Linked DNA regions of Danio rerio. The protein of the gene in region 1 purifies or fractionates together with the protein of each later gene. This does not show direct contact. Links are inferred from orthologs where the notes say so. Each region holds a gene or a part of one and is shown on either strand. Other genes may lie near its edges.

What was found.
Region 2: the proteins of fbxo7 (region 1) and psmb1 purify together in Homo sapiens (affinity purification with mass spectrometry; 3 studies listed by BioGRID and IntAct, counting the BioPlex papers as one, with this or other methods). This does not show direct contact. The link is inferred for Danio rerio from reciprocal best matches to the Homo sapiens genes FBXO7 and PSMB1.

Annotation. Positions count from the first base shown.
Region 1 is NC_133179.1:945,917-954,128, forward strand, and holds part of fbxo7 (F-box only protein 7), read left to right. Parts: intron 1-3,274; coding exon 3,275-3,592; intron 3,593-3,694; coding exon 3,695-3,839; intron 3,840-4,223; coding exon 4,224-4,307; intron 4,308-4,443; coding exon 4,444-4,539; intron 4,540-4,651; coding exon 4,652-4,828; intron 4,829-7,401; coding exon 7,402-7,448; exon of another isoform or gene 7,449-8,049; intron 8,050-8,117; exon of another isoform or gene 8,118-8,212. UniProt on the Homo sapiens protein: Substrate recognition component of a SCF (SKP1-CUL1-F-box protein) E3 ubiquitin-protein ligase complex which mediates the ubiquitination and subsequent proteasomal degradation of target proteins and plays a role in several biological processes such as cell cycle, cell proliferation, or maintenance of chromosome stability.
Region 2 is NC_133188.1:1,045,438-1,053,210, reverse strand, and holds the end of psmb1 (proteasome subunit beta type-1), read left to right. Parts: intron 1-905; coding exon 906-1,035; intron 1,036-3,431; coding exon 3,432-3,538; intron 3,539-4,055; coding exon 4,056-4,241; 3' UTR 4,242-4,359; downstream 4,360-7,773. Other genes in the region: dnaaf10 (dynein axonemal assembly factor 10), read right to left, coding at 6,457-6,664, 7,149-7,246. UniProt on the Homo sapiens protein: Non-catalytic component of the 20S core proteasome complex involved in the proteolytic degradation of most intracellular proteins. This complex plays numerous essential roles within the cell by associating with different regulatory particles.

The DNA.
Region 1 (8,212 bases):
TGTGTTGTCCACTTTCACCCTATTCAGCTTTCCTCTGCATTTGACAATTCTTCTTAGTCTGAGGTGTAAGAGATTCTGCATAATCCATGCTTATTTCATCATTTTCCTGATCTGTTTTTATTCATATTTATATTAACATGAGTCCATTGCTTTTCTGCAATTTTGACTTTTATCCTTTGATATTCTGTCTGTAAGTTTTCTATGTTTAGTCCTGAAGCGTGACAATAGAGTGCTCAAGTACTTTTGTGTACTTGTAATATTTTGAGGTGTTTCTATTCATTCTTTGTGACTATAAGACTGTCATCTTTATAAATCACAATAGGTCGCCCTTTAAGAACCTCCATCATTATAGCTTGAAAAGCATTTGGAGAGTTCGAAAATCGAAAATTAATTATACCGCTTATTAACAAATGTAAATGCGAGGTTGCCTCTCAGGCACAAAATCCAAATATTTTTGATAATATTTTTCTTCTGGGGCTGCTCCTGGAGCATCTCTTGCATTAATCGGGTATCTTGTATCTAGTATTGTTGGTTTATTTTGTTACCAACCTCCACCCTCCATCTGGTTTTGCAAACACTTGTATAAGGAATTTTGTTGGTGCATTATCAAGTTCCTCTATTTATCTTTCAGCTTTAATTCCTGTATTTGTTTTCTTTCCCTTTTATTAATAGGGTATTGTCTATAGTGGGGTGGTGCAATGGCACAGTTTGATCACATTCCTATTTATGAAAATTTTTTGCAGTCATTTTCTACTATGTGCTTGATTTATATTTTTTCTCCTAAGTTCTCTCTGACTTTATTAGTGTTGGCTTTAATTGTTTCGGCCATTCTCTTTAGTTCCTCCTCCTGGTTTACTTTTTAATCAATAACCAGCCTATTTCTCTACTTTTTAATATTGTGCTGGCAGCTTTCAGTTTACTAACACCTTTTGTGATCTGTAAACGTTTTCCTTTTCTACATAACCTCTGAAGTCTTTAATATTGAAAGCTGTTTAAGTTTCTTTGGCTTTTTTAGGCAAGTGAATTACCACCAGTTAAAGATTATTCCATCATAATATATTAAGGTTGTTTTACTTGGAGGCAGGCACCCCTAGTCCTCTTGAGATTTGGGTGACTCTGTTACTGTTAACAACGTTCTTGTTGCTTTTAACTGCTTTAGTTTTAGACTCTTTCTTTGAGTTTCTCTTGTCTATGATTTCTAGTCTCTGTTCTGGGGTCAGTTTTGCCCATTCCTCTTTAGAGACAGAGTCATTCTCTCCAGATTTTTGTTTGAAATCCGTTTATTTGTATTTACTTTTATTCTTCCTTGTGACCTGAGGCTTTTGGCTCTGGTGTTTTATATTCAGCTATTAGTCTTTGCAGTTTTTCAGTAATTATCTTTTTTTTTCTTTCTCATCTAATGGCAAAGTTCATTTCCCCCATGATGTTTGCGGCCCTAAAAGTTTTAGTCTGATAATCCAGGCACTAAATCTGTCACCTCTTGAACTTCCCTTATCTGTGCATACACTGAATTCAGTCTCCCGTCTGTCTAAGCAGTATGGGTAAACTCCTATTTATTTTATTGTTTCAGCCCTTTCCGCCCCTCATCTTGAAGGGCTTTACCTAGTATTGTCCCTAGCTGCAGCCTTATCTTCTTCTTGGTATGATCATTGCCTTAATTCGTCATCAGCTTTGTACAGTTCACCTATTCTGATCATTCGTGAGTTTTGTCTGTAACCGATGCCCCTGGGGAGAATGTTGTTTATGTTAACAGGTACGGAGCCCTGTTGCTTAACTCACTGACCCCCTGAGATTATCTTATTTTTGTACTCATCCCCAGCATCACTTATTTACGGACTGAGTGCTCCTCTTCAGCACAGCAGTTAGTTTCAGAGCTTGGCTCACTGGAGACTCATTCGGCAGCGGGGTCTCATGTTTCTTTTTTGCCTTTGTTATCTTCTGCTGTCCTCTTACCTCTGGTGAGCTTTCTCTAGCAAAATAATGTCCTTATTTTCCCTAGTTTTGGGTCTTGTTTGCTTGATGAATCTTCATCCATTAATCCTGGCCAAGTCATTCCACTGATCATCGCTTGTAATCCTTCTGCCAAATCACAGATCATATCTAGTTTGGCCTTCTGATTTATATCAGTTCATTTTTATTTTTCGTCTGCTGTACAAGATGAAGCTAGATATGTCATATCAGCATTCTCTTTGTTTCTGCCCTCCACCTTCTTTAGGTGAACTTTGAACCCAGGTGGGACAGTGGCATCCCCAGAACATCTTAGGATTTGCCAGAAGAGGCCATGCTGAATCTTGGGGTGGCACACACACAAAAAATCAGTGTAATGTTGTATTTATGTTTCTGGTAAATGAAATAATGTGGTTTTAATTCATTTTAATTAATTATTCTTGAAATATTGCAATTTATTTCTTGAAATAATTCAGCAAGTACATGCACAAACCAAATAAAAGTCAATATTTATATATATATAAAACTTTTCAGTTATTTTTTACAGTCTTTTATTGTACAGTATATGCCATGTCTAAAATTAATGAATAATTTAATAAAACAAACAAATGATGAACAAACTGAACAAAAGACATTACTACATACACACACACCCACTATACAGATTAATAATATCATTTATCCATATTCCTTTTTGAGCCACAATATTATTAATACAGCTTCCTCTATTGATGTACCTTAAGTTAAATATGAAATTGCCATTGCTGACTATTGAAGGTGTGTGCGGGCTGTCAATGAAGATCGAGAGGGGGAATAGCAGTGAATCTGCTACGCCAGTGGCACCAATCAATCCACAATAATTTAGTGGCTGCTATTTATTTATTTATTTATTTATCTATTTAAGTACTTTAATAATGTCAACAGCAAAATCATATTGTGTTTACACTGTGGTGGCTGTGGTGGTGCCCCTGAGGTGGGAGACGATTTCTTTGAGTCCCTGTGTAGCATTTTGTGTACAGAGTGGCCTACGAACTCTAAGTGAGTGTTGAAGTTGGCTTCTGCTGATGAAACTACAAACTATCTTCAGCAAACTTTCTTTTTAACTGAATCTCTAACTCCGGTTCTTCTTCATCAGACAGACTTTTCATTTTTGGGTTAAAACTGTTGGTTCCCCTTATAATTCTGAAACTGCACTGCTGGGGTTATCTTACAAGCCATGAAAATAAAAACAAAAAGACAAACGGACTGAAGCCATGACTTGGCGTGTGTGTGTGTGTGTGTGTGTGTGTGTGTGTGTGTGTGTGTGTGTGTGTGTGTATGTGTTCAGGCTGGTGGATCACATGTCAGCAGTAGCAGCAGTGTGATGGAGCAGCATGTGCAGGAGTGTGTGGATCAGGATCTGCTGGAGCGTGTGGATCAGCAGCAGGAGTGTGTGGATCTTCAGCAGGACTGTATGGATCAGCAGCAGCAGCAGCAGGAGTGTGTGTGTGCTGCGGCTCCTCCCCTGCTCTGCTGTGAGGCTGAAGACGGTCTCCTCCCTCTCGCTCTGGAGCGGCTGCTAGACTCCTCCACCTGCAGAAGCCCCTCCGACTGCCTAATGCTGGCGCTACACCTGCTGCTGCTGGAGACCGGCTTCATCCCACAGGTGATATCCACTTCACCTGGGCTATGTTCTTTCTATCCTAAAGGGAAAGTTCACCCAAGAATGAAAATGTCCTCTGTATTTACTCTCTCCTTCTCGCTTCAGGGCGGAGCCGTGAGCTCAGGGGAGATGCCGATTGGCTGGCAGGCCGCAGGGGGTGTGTTTAGAATCCAGTATGTCCACCCTCTGCTGGAGAACAGCCTGGTGTCGGTGGTGGCCGTGCCCATGGTTCAAACTCTGGTCATAAATGGTAATATACACCGTATGTAACACTGATATGTTCAATTTAAGTGTATTTGTAAAGTGTTTTTTACTATTATTATCATTCCAAAGCAGCTTTACAAAGGGTGCACATCATTACATGACAGTCGACATTAGAACAGTGAAGTGACTTAGTTTTTACAGCTAAGATTTCTTTTATTTAATGTTTTTTATCCTGTAAAAATGCTTTTCCTAGATTTTGTTGTCTCGTTTCTAGTCCAGAGATGTCGAAATTCTTAAATCAAGAAGCATTTTCTAGACAAGCCAAAAATATAGTGGTGTTTTCTGAAGTAATGAGTGAAAATTTCTTTAAAACAAGCAGAATAATCTGCCGATGGGGGAATAAAACAATCTTGTTTTTGCTTTTGATCAGCCGTCCTGAAGATGGAGACGAGTTTGGAGAATTCCCGCAAACTGCTGCTCAAACCTGACGAGTATGTGACAGCTGAGTGGACAGGTGAAGCTCACACACACACACACACACACACACACACACACACACACACACACACACACACACACACACACGCATTAATCATCTGTAAAAGCACAGCAGGATTATGGACTGAATGACCTGCCATGTGTGTGTGCAGGCGGCAGCTCAGGTGTGGTCTACAGAGATCTGCGCAGACTCTCTCGCCTGGTCAGAGATCAGCTGGTGTATCCGCTCATGGCCACTGCCAGACAGGGTGAGTGTGTGTTTACTGTTCACACGTGTGTGTCAGAGTGCTTTGTGTGCATGTACTGTTCACACGGGTTTGTCAAAGTGTTTAATAAATGTCTTTGTGCATGTGTGTATAGCTCTGGGTCTGCCTCTGCTCTTCGGTCTGCCTGTTCTTCCTCCTGAGCTGCTGCTGCGTTTGCTGCGTCTGCTGGACGTTCGATCTCTCGTCTCGCTGTCGGCTGTGTGTCGGCACCTGAACACCGCCACCCATGATGCTTCACTCTGGAGACACCTGCTGCACAGAGACTTTAGGGGTAAATGCGCAAATATACACTTTAGGATGCACGATATGTCTGTGGCCATATCAATATCGGCTGACAAATGCTAGTTTTTTTTAAAGGTTTAGTTCATGCAAAAATTGTAATCAATCATTATATACTCTCCCTCGAGTGTTTCCTAACCTTTGACTTTCTTTACTCTGTTGAACACGAAAGAAAATATTTAGGAGAATGCTGAAAACCTGTTACCATTGATTTGTGTAGGAGGATAAACAAATGCTGCGTCCTAATTCGCATACTAAAACAGTATTTAAAAAAATAATTAGTGTATATAGTGAATATTAAAGATCAATAATAATGTTTATTAATATTCTGAATTAACTTATAGTTAATTTGACTAAATAAATATAACAATGATTTTGCCCGCTCGTCTGAGCAGACTGTAATTATTTATTTATTTAGAAAGGGAATTATAAGTATTTGTCAGGGCCGGATTGGCCAATCAGGAGGACCGGGAGAGTTTCCGGTGGGCCGGTCCGTTTTTTGGCCGCGAGGGCTGGTGTTTCTAGCTGCTTGCACTCTCAGCAGTTGCACTTTTTTTTTCATTTATATATTTATTGAACAAAGCCTCACTCTTTTTATTCATTATTTTGCCGCAGCTCCGGTTATTTATTGTCTCACAGCCCCATGAGCAAAATGCAGCCTGCATGTAATGATGATGTAATTATTATTCCGGCTAAATTATTATTATTATTTTTTTTTTTTTTTTTTTTTTTTTTTTCATTTTTATTGTTGAGACATATCAAACTGTACGGTTGTTGAACATTTAAAGTTCTAAAGCAGCTGTTTTCTTGAAAAAGACATGATAGCATAATTAGAAACTGAATTGGAAATGACCTTATATTAATATAGTCAGTCGTGAACTGAGGTGGGCCGGTCTGCTTGAAACTCCAGGGCTGAAAAGGAGTCCCACTCCAGCCCTGCTACATGTGATGTAGATGAATAGTTTAGACGTTTTGGTAAACTGTAAACTTGTTTTAGTAAAGCTTGTAGCAAACGCTCTGTCGTTAAATTGACCTTTTCTGTGAGGCAAAACAAAGACAACATGGTTATAGCCTGATTTATTGACTAGTCTAACATATCAAAACAAACGTACAAAACATAACAACAAAAACATATAAAAGAAGCAAGCGAGCAAATAAAGAGTTTAGATAAAAGAATGGCAAATCTAGTTCAGTTCCACACAACTGTTAAAGACTCCTAAACCCTTCTGCTCCAATGTCTGGGAGAAAATGGGTTTTAACTATGGGTCAAGTCACACCTATTTTCTACTGAGTGACCAGTGGTTTCAGGGCAAGGATTTGAGCGTTTGACCGTTGATATGCATAATGAGGGTCGTCCCTGAGCATACAGCTGGACCTTACCTCTGAGCATTAAAGAATGCAAGCTGTAAAAGTTATTGTCATATGGTTGTAAAATAGCAGGAGAAACGTAATGCTACTAAACACGACACTCTAAACGCACATCAGATAGCATCTAGGCATTTCTATACTATATAAGATCAAAAGGGACTTCATTAACGCATGCATATACTATTTTAATTACTTTAGCTTTAGGGCAGAGCATATAGATTACAAACACACATTACATTTCTTTTGGAGTGAGTTTTTGAGTTCTAATCGTTCTTTCAGTTGTGTGTGTCTTTGGGTGGGTGTGTGTGTGTGTGTGGGGTGTTGGAACAGTTGCAGGTTTTCCTTTGGAATGTCTTGGCTTGCAAAGATGCACCAAAGGGACACAAGTTTCTCCCTTCTCCCCATCTGTAATATAGATTAAACAGCAGCAATGGGTCCCCAGTTTCCCTTATGCATCCCAGGTTAAACGAGGTGTCATGCACAGCGACCTTTGTCTCTAGACTTTCTGGAGCCTTTAATCATGAATCTCTCACCGATAAGAAATATGGTATTTAGGGGTAATCCAGTTCTTCAACTGTGACCCATATGCAACAGTAGCATGTGCAAAAGTGTATGCCGACGGTTCCTTGTGGTTGTACTATTTCAAGTAGAAATTTGAAGTGTAGAACCCTTTATTTAAAATTATCGATAGCCCCACATGTAATTTGCGCACACAGAAATCCTTTAAGGCCATAATTTATTCATTTGCTTGTGTAAATGTGTTTACATTAATTGTAGTAATTTTATTGAATAATATTGAATGTTTATGATTCATCTACAACACAGTGACTAATGTAAAGTTTTCTGTCTCTCAGTAGATATATTATGAGAATAAGATTGTTTACCAAAGAAGTGGTTGTACTTGGATTTTGATTGTAAATCTTAAATGTTGTCATTTTAATTATGTTACAGTTTCAGCTACTTTTCTGTCAAATCATTCTTCATAAATCTGCAGCCTTTGTACAAAATTCTGCACAGAAATAGCAAAAACATGTACACAATGTGGTAAATGGTTACTGTATCAGTCAAACATTGAACATTTGTGCATCCCTAATAAACACACACACACACACACACACACACACACATATCTGTGTAGCAGAATTAGACACGGTGTGCAGGAGTGACTGAGTGTTGTTCTTTTGTGTTGTCTTGTAGTGAGTTTTCCGGCTGGTCATCAGCACAGAGACACAGACTGGAGAGAGGTAAGACACACACACACACACACACACACACACACACATCTCACTCATATTCATTTTACTAATGCTCTGTAAAGGCTGGTTAAATGACCCCCCCCCCCCCCCTCACAGATTTTACAGTGGCTATGACGGTTTTTTCAATACATTTATTATGTCTCTTAAACTCTTAACGCAGCAACACACCTAAAACACACAATTGGCAAAACGGTTAACTTCATGCTCAAAAACACACATTGTAAACTAAACCGCAAAGCTAATGTTGAAAATACAGTAATACAGCATGTCTGACGAAACACTGCAAACATGTTTCAAAATCAAATCACTATTCAAAACACCAACACATGCTCTCCTCCAACAGGAACATTTAGTCAATCAGAACACACTGATGATAAAACACACTCATCAGCTGCAGTATTGTATGTGTCAGCTCTGCTCTTATATTTGAAGCCTCTCTACAGTTTTGTGTTGTTGGCTTTAGTAAACGCAGGCATTTTGTTTCTTTTGTTGGAGAAATTCTATACAATAAATGAGCGACCGTCTCAGAGTAGCTTTATACAATGTACAGCTTATGTAAAAAAATACATACAGACACAGAATTGCTGCAGTACAGACTTTATTTGCAAAAGGACACCACTGCAAGATAATCACATCAGAAAAGCAATGCAATTATAGTGAAAAAACAAAACAAAAACAAAGTTATGTTTCATTCTGCCCGGTCTTCTGCATTTGGCCATGTTTTGCATCGTGGGAAGAATCCTTTGGCATGC
Region 2 (7,773 bases), on another chromosome or scaffold:
TTATTATTATTATTATTATTATTTAGGAAATATGACAATAAGTTTTCTCTGCACATTTAAAAGGGTGGAAAAAAAAACGTTGCCTCACATACAAAACTGAACAAATCTCCTAATTAAGGGGTGTCCAAACTCAGTCCTGGAGGGCCGGTGTCCTGGAGAGTTTAGCCCCAACCATAATCAAACACACCTGAACAAGCTAGTCAAGCTCATACTAGGTATAATAGAACAGGGGTGTCCAAACTCGTAGGTGTCCTGCATAGTTTAGCTCCAACTTCCTTCAACACACCTGCCTAGAAGTTTCTAGTATACCTAGAAATGGCTTGATCAGCTGCTTCAGGTGTGTTTAATTGGGGTTGGAACTAAAATATGCAGGACACCGGCCCTCCAGGATTGACTTTGGACACCCCTGTACTAGACACTTCCAGGCAGGTGTGTTGAAGCAAGTTGGAACTAAACTCAGCAGGACAGCGGCCCTCCAGGATTGAGTTTGGACACCCCTGTCCTAATTGTTTAAATCGCTTTATCAATGTCATCTTGGCACTTTTTAGGACTCGTCATGTTTGCTGTCATCATTTTAATAATTTCACTAACAAGGTTCATCACTTAAAACATTACCTGCTACAACTTGTTTACAACTTGTTTAACTTGTTTTCATGTTAAGACCTGCTATTCCAACCTCAATACCTTCCAGTGCATTGCATTTGCCCCATGTCAGGTGTGAATATTTTTACAACATTTATTGTTATTGTGCAAAACATTAGCTAAAAGAAACTTGAAAATGTCATTGACTTCCGTAGTATTTGTGTAGTCACACATGTAAATGGACTTCCAGCCAGCTCATGATCCCCACAGAAATATCCACATTTCCTGAGCGGTGTGTTTGACTTTCTGGGCTGCCCTTACAGATGTACAAGCACTCGAATAACAAGAGCATGACGAGTGGAGCCATCGCAGCCATGCTGTCCACCATTCTGTACGGCAGGCGCTTCTTCCCTTACTACGTCTACAACATCATCGGCGGTCTGGATGAGGAGGGTGAGTTCGCTCAGGTCTTCAGGCTTAATTCAGCCATCTAAAGGTCAGGAGCGCATTAAAGGCAGTCTGGCTGACTGAAATATACTTGGCTAAACTGGCAATGAGCTGGTTATAGAGACCAAAACAAAGACATTTTGACAAGTAACCAGGGGGCTATTTCATAAAAGTGGTTAAGAAAAGCCTGACTTCAATGAGCTGAACTAAACGTCCACGCTTAAATTGATTCCATAACGGCAAGTTGAAGATCGTTTGATTTAACTAGTCTGAGTTCAGTTTAAATGATCTAGATAACTGCTCGTGCACATTTCTGTTGTGAAACCTTAAAAGTCGAGCATAGATGCATCGATTACGTTGTGTGCTACCATGGCAACTTAGAGAACTGAAAGAGCTCTGAAATGAGACACAGCTGTTCACAGCGAGTGAGTCACGAAACTGCAGATTGTTTAATAAGCTACAGTAGCTCTATATTTTTAAATATATGCTATTATTTATGCCTATTAACATGAAATTAAATATTTGTTATAAAACATAGTAATTGTGCTTGACCGCGCATGTGCATGAGAGAGAATTTGCGCTTACTGCCAATTGTTGCTTGCAATTAAACGTTTTAATGCATTGCGTTAAATATATTTGTGCATATACATTAGATTATTCAGTACCAATGCAAAGTTTGGAATATATATATATATATATATATATATATATATATATATATATATATATATATATATATATATATATATATATATATATATATATATATATAATTTTTTTTTTTTGCTATTAAGTGACTAAAGTTTTAATCATTATTAAGAGGTTAAGTGAATTTAAATGGCATCAAATTATGTCAGGTGAATGTTAACATTACTTTGATTAAGCTTAAACTTAAGGCTTAGCCTTGGAGTTAGCCTGCCCCGGACCAGGCTAGTTTCCCAGCCTAAGTTGCCAGGGTAACTAAGTTTGAACTATCGTAAATTTGATTTATGAAACCGAATCCGCCATTAATAAACCTGACTTACCAAAAAAAGCCTGGCTTTTTCTGTAAGCTTGGTTGATGGAATAGCCCCCTGCATTTTCAGGTAGATTTATTTATTTATTTTTTTATTAGAATATGCAAAAAGGTACATAAATTGGGATCATACAAATACAAAAAACATCAACAAAAAACCATAACAAAACAACAATAAAAAAAACAATAAAAAAAAAAAAAAAACAATATAGTCAGGTACTGTTAGGTGTGTGTGTGTGTGTGTGTCCATGTAAAGGTAACTTGGTGGAAGGTCAGATTACATACATTAGGAACAATGTTAGCCAATAAATGAATCTAGTCTCGCAGATATAAGTAAAACAGATACAAAAGAAACCAGTCAGAGTTAGGGAGTAACAACTATGCTTAGTAATGTATAATAGAAATAATGACAGTAAAAAGAAAGAAATGACAACAGTAATAATAAATGATAATAAATCACAAGTACTACCCTAACTACTACTACTGCAGAAAGTTACTTATATTACTATATAATTATTAACTACTATTGCTGCTACTACAATCACAACCACAACTATTACTACTATAATGTCTACTACTGCTGATACTACCACAACAATGACTACCACTACTGATACTACAGCGTCTGCTACAACTAATACAACGTCTACTACTACCGCAATCACTGCTACTACAACATCTACATCAACGACATCTACTACTGGTACTACTACACCAACAACGATTACTACTGCTACAACGACACTTTTACTACTTCTGCTACCACTATACCAACGACATCAACTACTACAGGAACTAATACTTCAATAATCACAATTACGATCGATACTACTACAATGACTACTACAACTACTACACCAACAACGACTACTACTACTACTACTGCTACAACGACACCTTTACTACTTCTGCTACCACTATACCAACGACATCAACTACTACAGGAACTACTACTTCAAAATACAATTACAATCAATACTACTACGATGACTACTGCTACAACTACTACTACTACAACAACAACAACAACAATTACTGCAACCTTAATAATGATAATCGTATTAATATTTTCAGGTAGATTAATATTGTGGTATTTGTATACTTTATAAGAGTCACAAACTCACAGCACCTTTAAAAACCCCTCTTCATTACCACAGAAGAACCAATAAACAAGATTACTGTGGTAATGCTAGGAAACTGCATGTTGCATTTTCAAATTTCGGCCATCCCATATTAATGAATACGTTGTCAGTGCAGACACTTGACACTTTTATGATCTTAAGTCTCTCCAAATGGTTGATCAGTTTCGTTTCACTAATGCATGTACACATTTTTCTTGAACACAGAACGGTGTGATTAAATAATCATGTGTTTTGCTTTATTCCAGGTCGAGGTGCTGTTTATAGTTTTGATCCAGTTGGTTCCTACCAGAGGGACACGTATAAAGCAGGTGGATCAGCGAGCGCAATGCTGCAGCCGCTCCTCGACAACCAGGTCAGAGTTCAGATTATCATCATAATATTAAATAGTCCATCTTAAACCCCATTCAGACCAGCAGTTTCTCCCATCACTACCAAACTTAAGTACACATGAAGTCAAAACTAACCATATTAGGAAAAAAACAATAGATTGCCCTTATAGTCTTTAATTGAAATCTGTAAATGCACTTCCTGATTGTTTTTGGGTAAATTCTCAGATTAGGTCTGTCTAATGTGGTGGGCGGGGCTAACACCCTTAACCACGCCCATCCAGCTGTCAGTCAACCAACAGAAACAGTGAGCAGGAGGAGTCTGTTAAGTTGTAATAACTCTCCCCAGACCCTTTTCCCCATCTTCCTGAATGAAACACCTACTTTACTACATCCAATCAGCTCACAGTACAAAAAACAAGCCACGCCCACTGTCTTCTCATTTATTATGCCGTTTCTCTCACAAAAGAAATGGTTACAGATTCCAGTTCACGAGGACTTTAATAGAAACCAACCATTAACTAAGTTGTTTGTTGTGCTCAGATCGGCTTCAAGAACATGGAGAACGTGGAGCATGTTCCTCTGACCCAGGAGAAGGCAGTGCAGCTGGTGAAGGACGTGTTTATTTCTGCTGCCGAGAGAGACGTGTACACCGGAGACGCCCTCAAAGTCTGCATCGTCTCCAAAGAGGGCATTAAAGAAGAGATCGTGCCGCTCAGGAAAGACTGAGACGCCTTCTCTGCACGCCAACGTTAGCCTCTTTTTGTTTCGCTCCAGATGCATCTTTCATTCTGCTCTCCTTTTTATATTCTGTCTCGAGAATAAATACCATACTGGTGTCAACATTGTGTAGTGTTCAGAGTGGTTTGTCCATTTGACAACCTCAGGTTGAGTGAAAACATCGCATCTGGATTGTGTTAAAATGTCTACGCTGTAAAAAATGCAGAGCTCCACACTAACCGATTAAGTGAAAGCAACAAATCTGAAGTAGATTGAACTTAAATTAAGTGGTCAAAAAATAAAATCTCAAGATTTGTGTAGTTTTGACACATTTTAAGTTATTTAAAAACATTTTTTATTTTAGATGGATAGACATGGAAAATGGGCCTAATCAGGTTTTTAGCTTCGATTTCAAAACTCTTACAATTATTATTTAAGTAAAAACCTCACTGTATAGTATATGCTCAAATTTACACTTAAATACTTGTATAATTTTATTGAAATATTCAAAACATATACCAGCAGAACATCATTAGCTTTGAAGACCTATTTTTTGAAGATCATTTTTACCTGTTACAGTGTTCAGACGGCAGAGAGACACCACGTTGACGTTGTGATGCCAAAATCATTGTAATACAAACGATAACATTAAAAAAACGCATGTATCGGCCACTTAAATGTTGTGGCCATTTATTGGCCAATATCAATATGGGTACCAATATAGGCAGATGTTATTATGGTGACCTACTCTATATGCAGTGTTGGGGAAAAAGTAATATATTACAATCTGTAGTATGTATTTATATATATATATATATATATATATATATATATATATATATATATATATATATATATATATATATATATATATATATATATATATTAAGGGTGTCATGATTTCAATTTTTAATCAAAATCGATCGAAATTTATCGTCAACTTCAATTATCGAATCAAAAAATAGAATCGTCGATGCTGCAACGCCCCCATGTAACGTCAGCTTGGCTTGCCAAGCGGGAAAAAACAGGCTTGTTGAAGTGCTTGTTAAACTGCAGAAGCAGGAGACCCGTCGACAGAGCTTAAACCCTCTCCTCTTTCAATGAAGTCACCGGTGTGGAAGTATTTTGGATTTTCAGTTAGTTATGTTGACAACGTTCGTGTTGTCAACAAAAAAAAAAAAAAAACAGTTTGCAAGCTCTGCCATGTACGTATTACGGTTGGGATAATAGACGATGGGCGCATTGCGATCCATACACGAAAACACGAAACTCAGGCCCTGTTTACACTAACATGTCTTTGTTTTTAAATGGCATTTTAGAACGACAACAATCCACATCCACACTGGCGTGTAGCATTTCTGAGCAGCCCTCCTTCCTCACTACCGCTGAAAACGCACATCACGTGACCACACACACACACTCATTCACACACAGACACATTGTCATGCGCTCGAGACAGCGGGTCAAGGCAGTCAGCGGTTCAGTAGACTGCTTCCATCTTTTACTTTCACACAAGTACTTGGTCATTTTAGCGAACACCTCAGATACTGTTGGCTGGTTCCTGTCTTTCTGGAATGATATTGTTAAGGAGACAGCCAAAATGTGATACAATTAAAACAACTTGACCTCAAAGTTGTACTCTTGGTCTTTGTGTTCAACTATTAATCAGCTAACAGTCAGAATAATAGAAATTCATGTTTTGATTTTATTATTAAAGATCAATAATAACTTCACCATAGCACTGAAGGCCTTCACTTTGGGCATAAGAACCCATTTCACCAGTGCTAGCAAAGCAAAGTCACAACTACATCCAGTGTTATAAAGCATCATAACACTTGTCTGTAAAAAAACTAATCAACTCGAATACAATTGCAGATTTACTTAAGGGATAGTTCACCCCAAAATTAAAATTGTCATCCTTGTTTCAAACCTTTGAGCTTATTAACTTATTAAACACAAGGGAAGATATTCTGAAAAACATTGACTTCCATAGTACTTGTTATTCCTACTATGGAAGTCAATGGTTACAGGTTTCCAACATTAATGGAAATATCTTCTTTTGTTTCCGATAAAAGATAATAAAAGTTTGAAAACCACACAAGGAAGAATAAATAGTGAGTACATTATATTTTGGGGTGAACTGTCCCTTTAAGACACACACGTTCATGTAAACAGTCATCAGATATTCCAGTCTGTTGGAGAATAAAAGTGATGTACTGTTGGCTCAGACAGTGTTGAGTTTGGTGACTATGAGCACTCGTACAGACTGGTCGAATGAGGAGCAGACGCAGAGACCCTGTTTATCCGGGCTCCAGTCTAGACTGGAGATGGGTTGTGTGGACAGAGTCACGTTCTGGAGGAGATTGACAGATCCAGCGACCCCCATCTCCACATCATCTGCTCCCTTCTTACTCCTCTGGGCCGGATACTCACTGGAAAAACAGGAGGAAAGAATGCTACTGAGTAGAGCCGTCAAGCAATGAGGAGTTGAAGAGTGGCCAGCAAAAATGATTCTTTTAAGGTCGCTTTAAATGCAAATGAGATCGTGCACTTTTCAGAAGAGGGCGGAGCTGAAAATGCCTGTGTGTCATCATAGTGGCAGATTCTCAAACAAGACTAACGGCATATGCTAATGAGGGAGAGACATGTACAAAGGGAAAATGTCATGCAAGTGTTTCTGTTTTCAACATGTTTGATTATAACAATTTAATTAATAAATGTTAACCATTAGAGGCTGGATATATTCACTAACTGTTTCCACACAACTGTGTTTAAAAGCCCTAATAAAAGTGATTTTTGCATAATAGTTCCCATCGTTTCAATACTAAATATATTGTATTTTGTCATGTACTGGAAATGCAACGTCACATCAACAGCCCAGATGTTTAATAATATAAACTGCAAGAAATCACTTACTATTTCCATAAATGCAGGTTTCCCGCTCCTCCGGCTGTCATGAAGACGTCACGATTTTGAGGTAAGTGCCTCACTTGCCATATTGTGGATTTGTGAGCCTGAAAAACATCAATAAGTGCAAATTAAAGGCACGGTGGGAGATTTGGGGTCTCTCAGAAAATAGGTACGTTTTTGGCATTGCTTTAAATCCCAACCGTACGTTCACACCGAAAGCGGCGAGAGCGTCCAAGGTTGCTCTGGCCGCCCTGGCGACAACGCTGTCTGCCTTCAGCTCCGGCGGCGAGAGCGTCAAAACTCGTTACACTGATCTCGTATTTAAAGGAGCCGTTACAGCATGTCAGTTACATTCCTGCATAAAACATGTTTCTAGCGTGAAAATGATGCGCACTTCTTATCAAATTCATTTAACAATGGAAGATCAAGTTGCGTGTGGCGTGGCTTTGCTCTATTTATCCAATATGTGTCCATGTCTGAAATATCCTGAAGCAGCAGTACTGTTTTGTAATGTCACGTCTTGTGAGTTTCCCGCTTTTTTAAAGGGCCATGAAACCCCCCCTTGTTTTCACACCTCTACTTTGGAAAAAGTCAGAAAAGTGGGCGTGTCCAGCTTTGTTTAGGGGGGAGT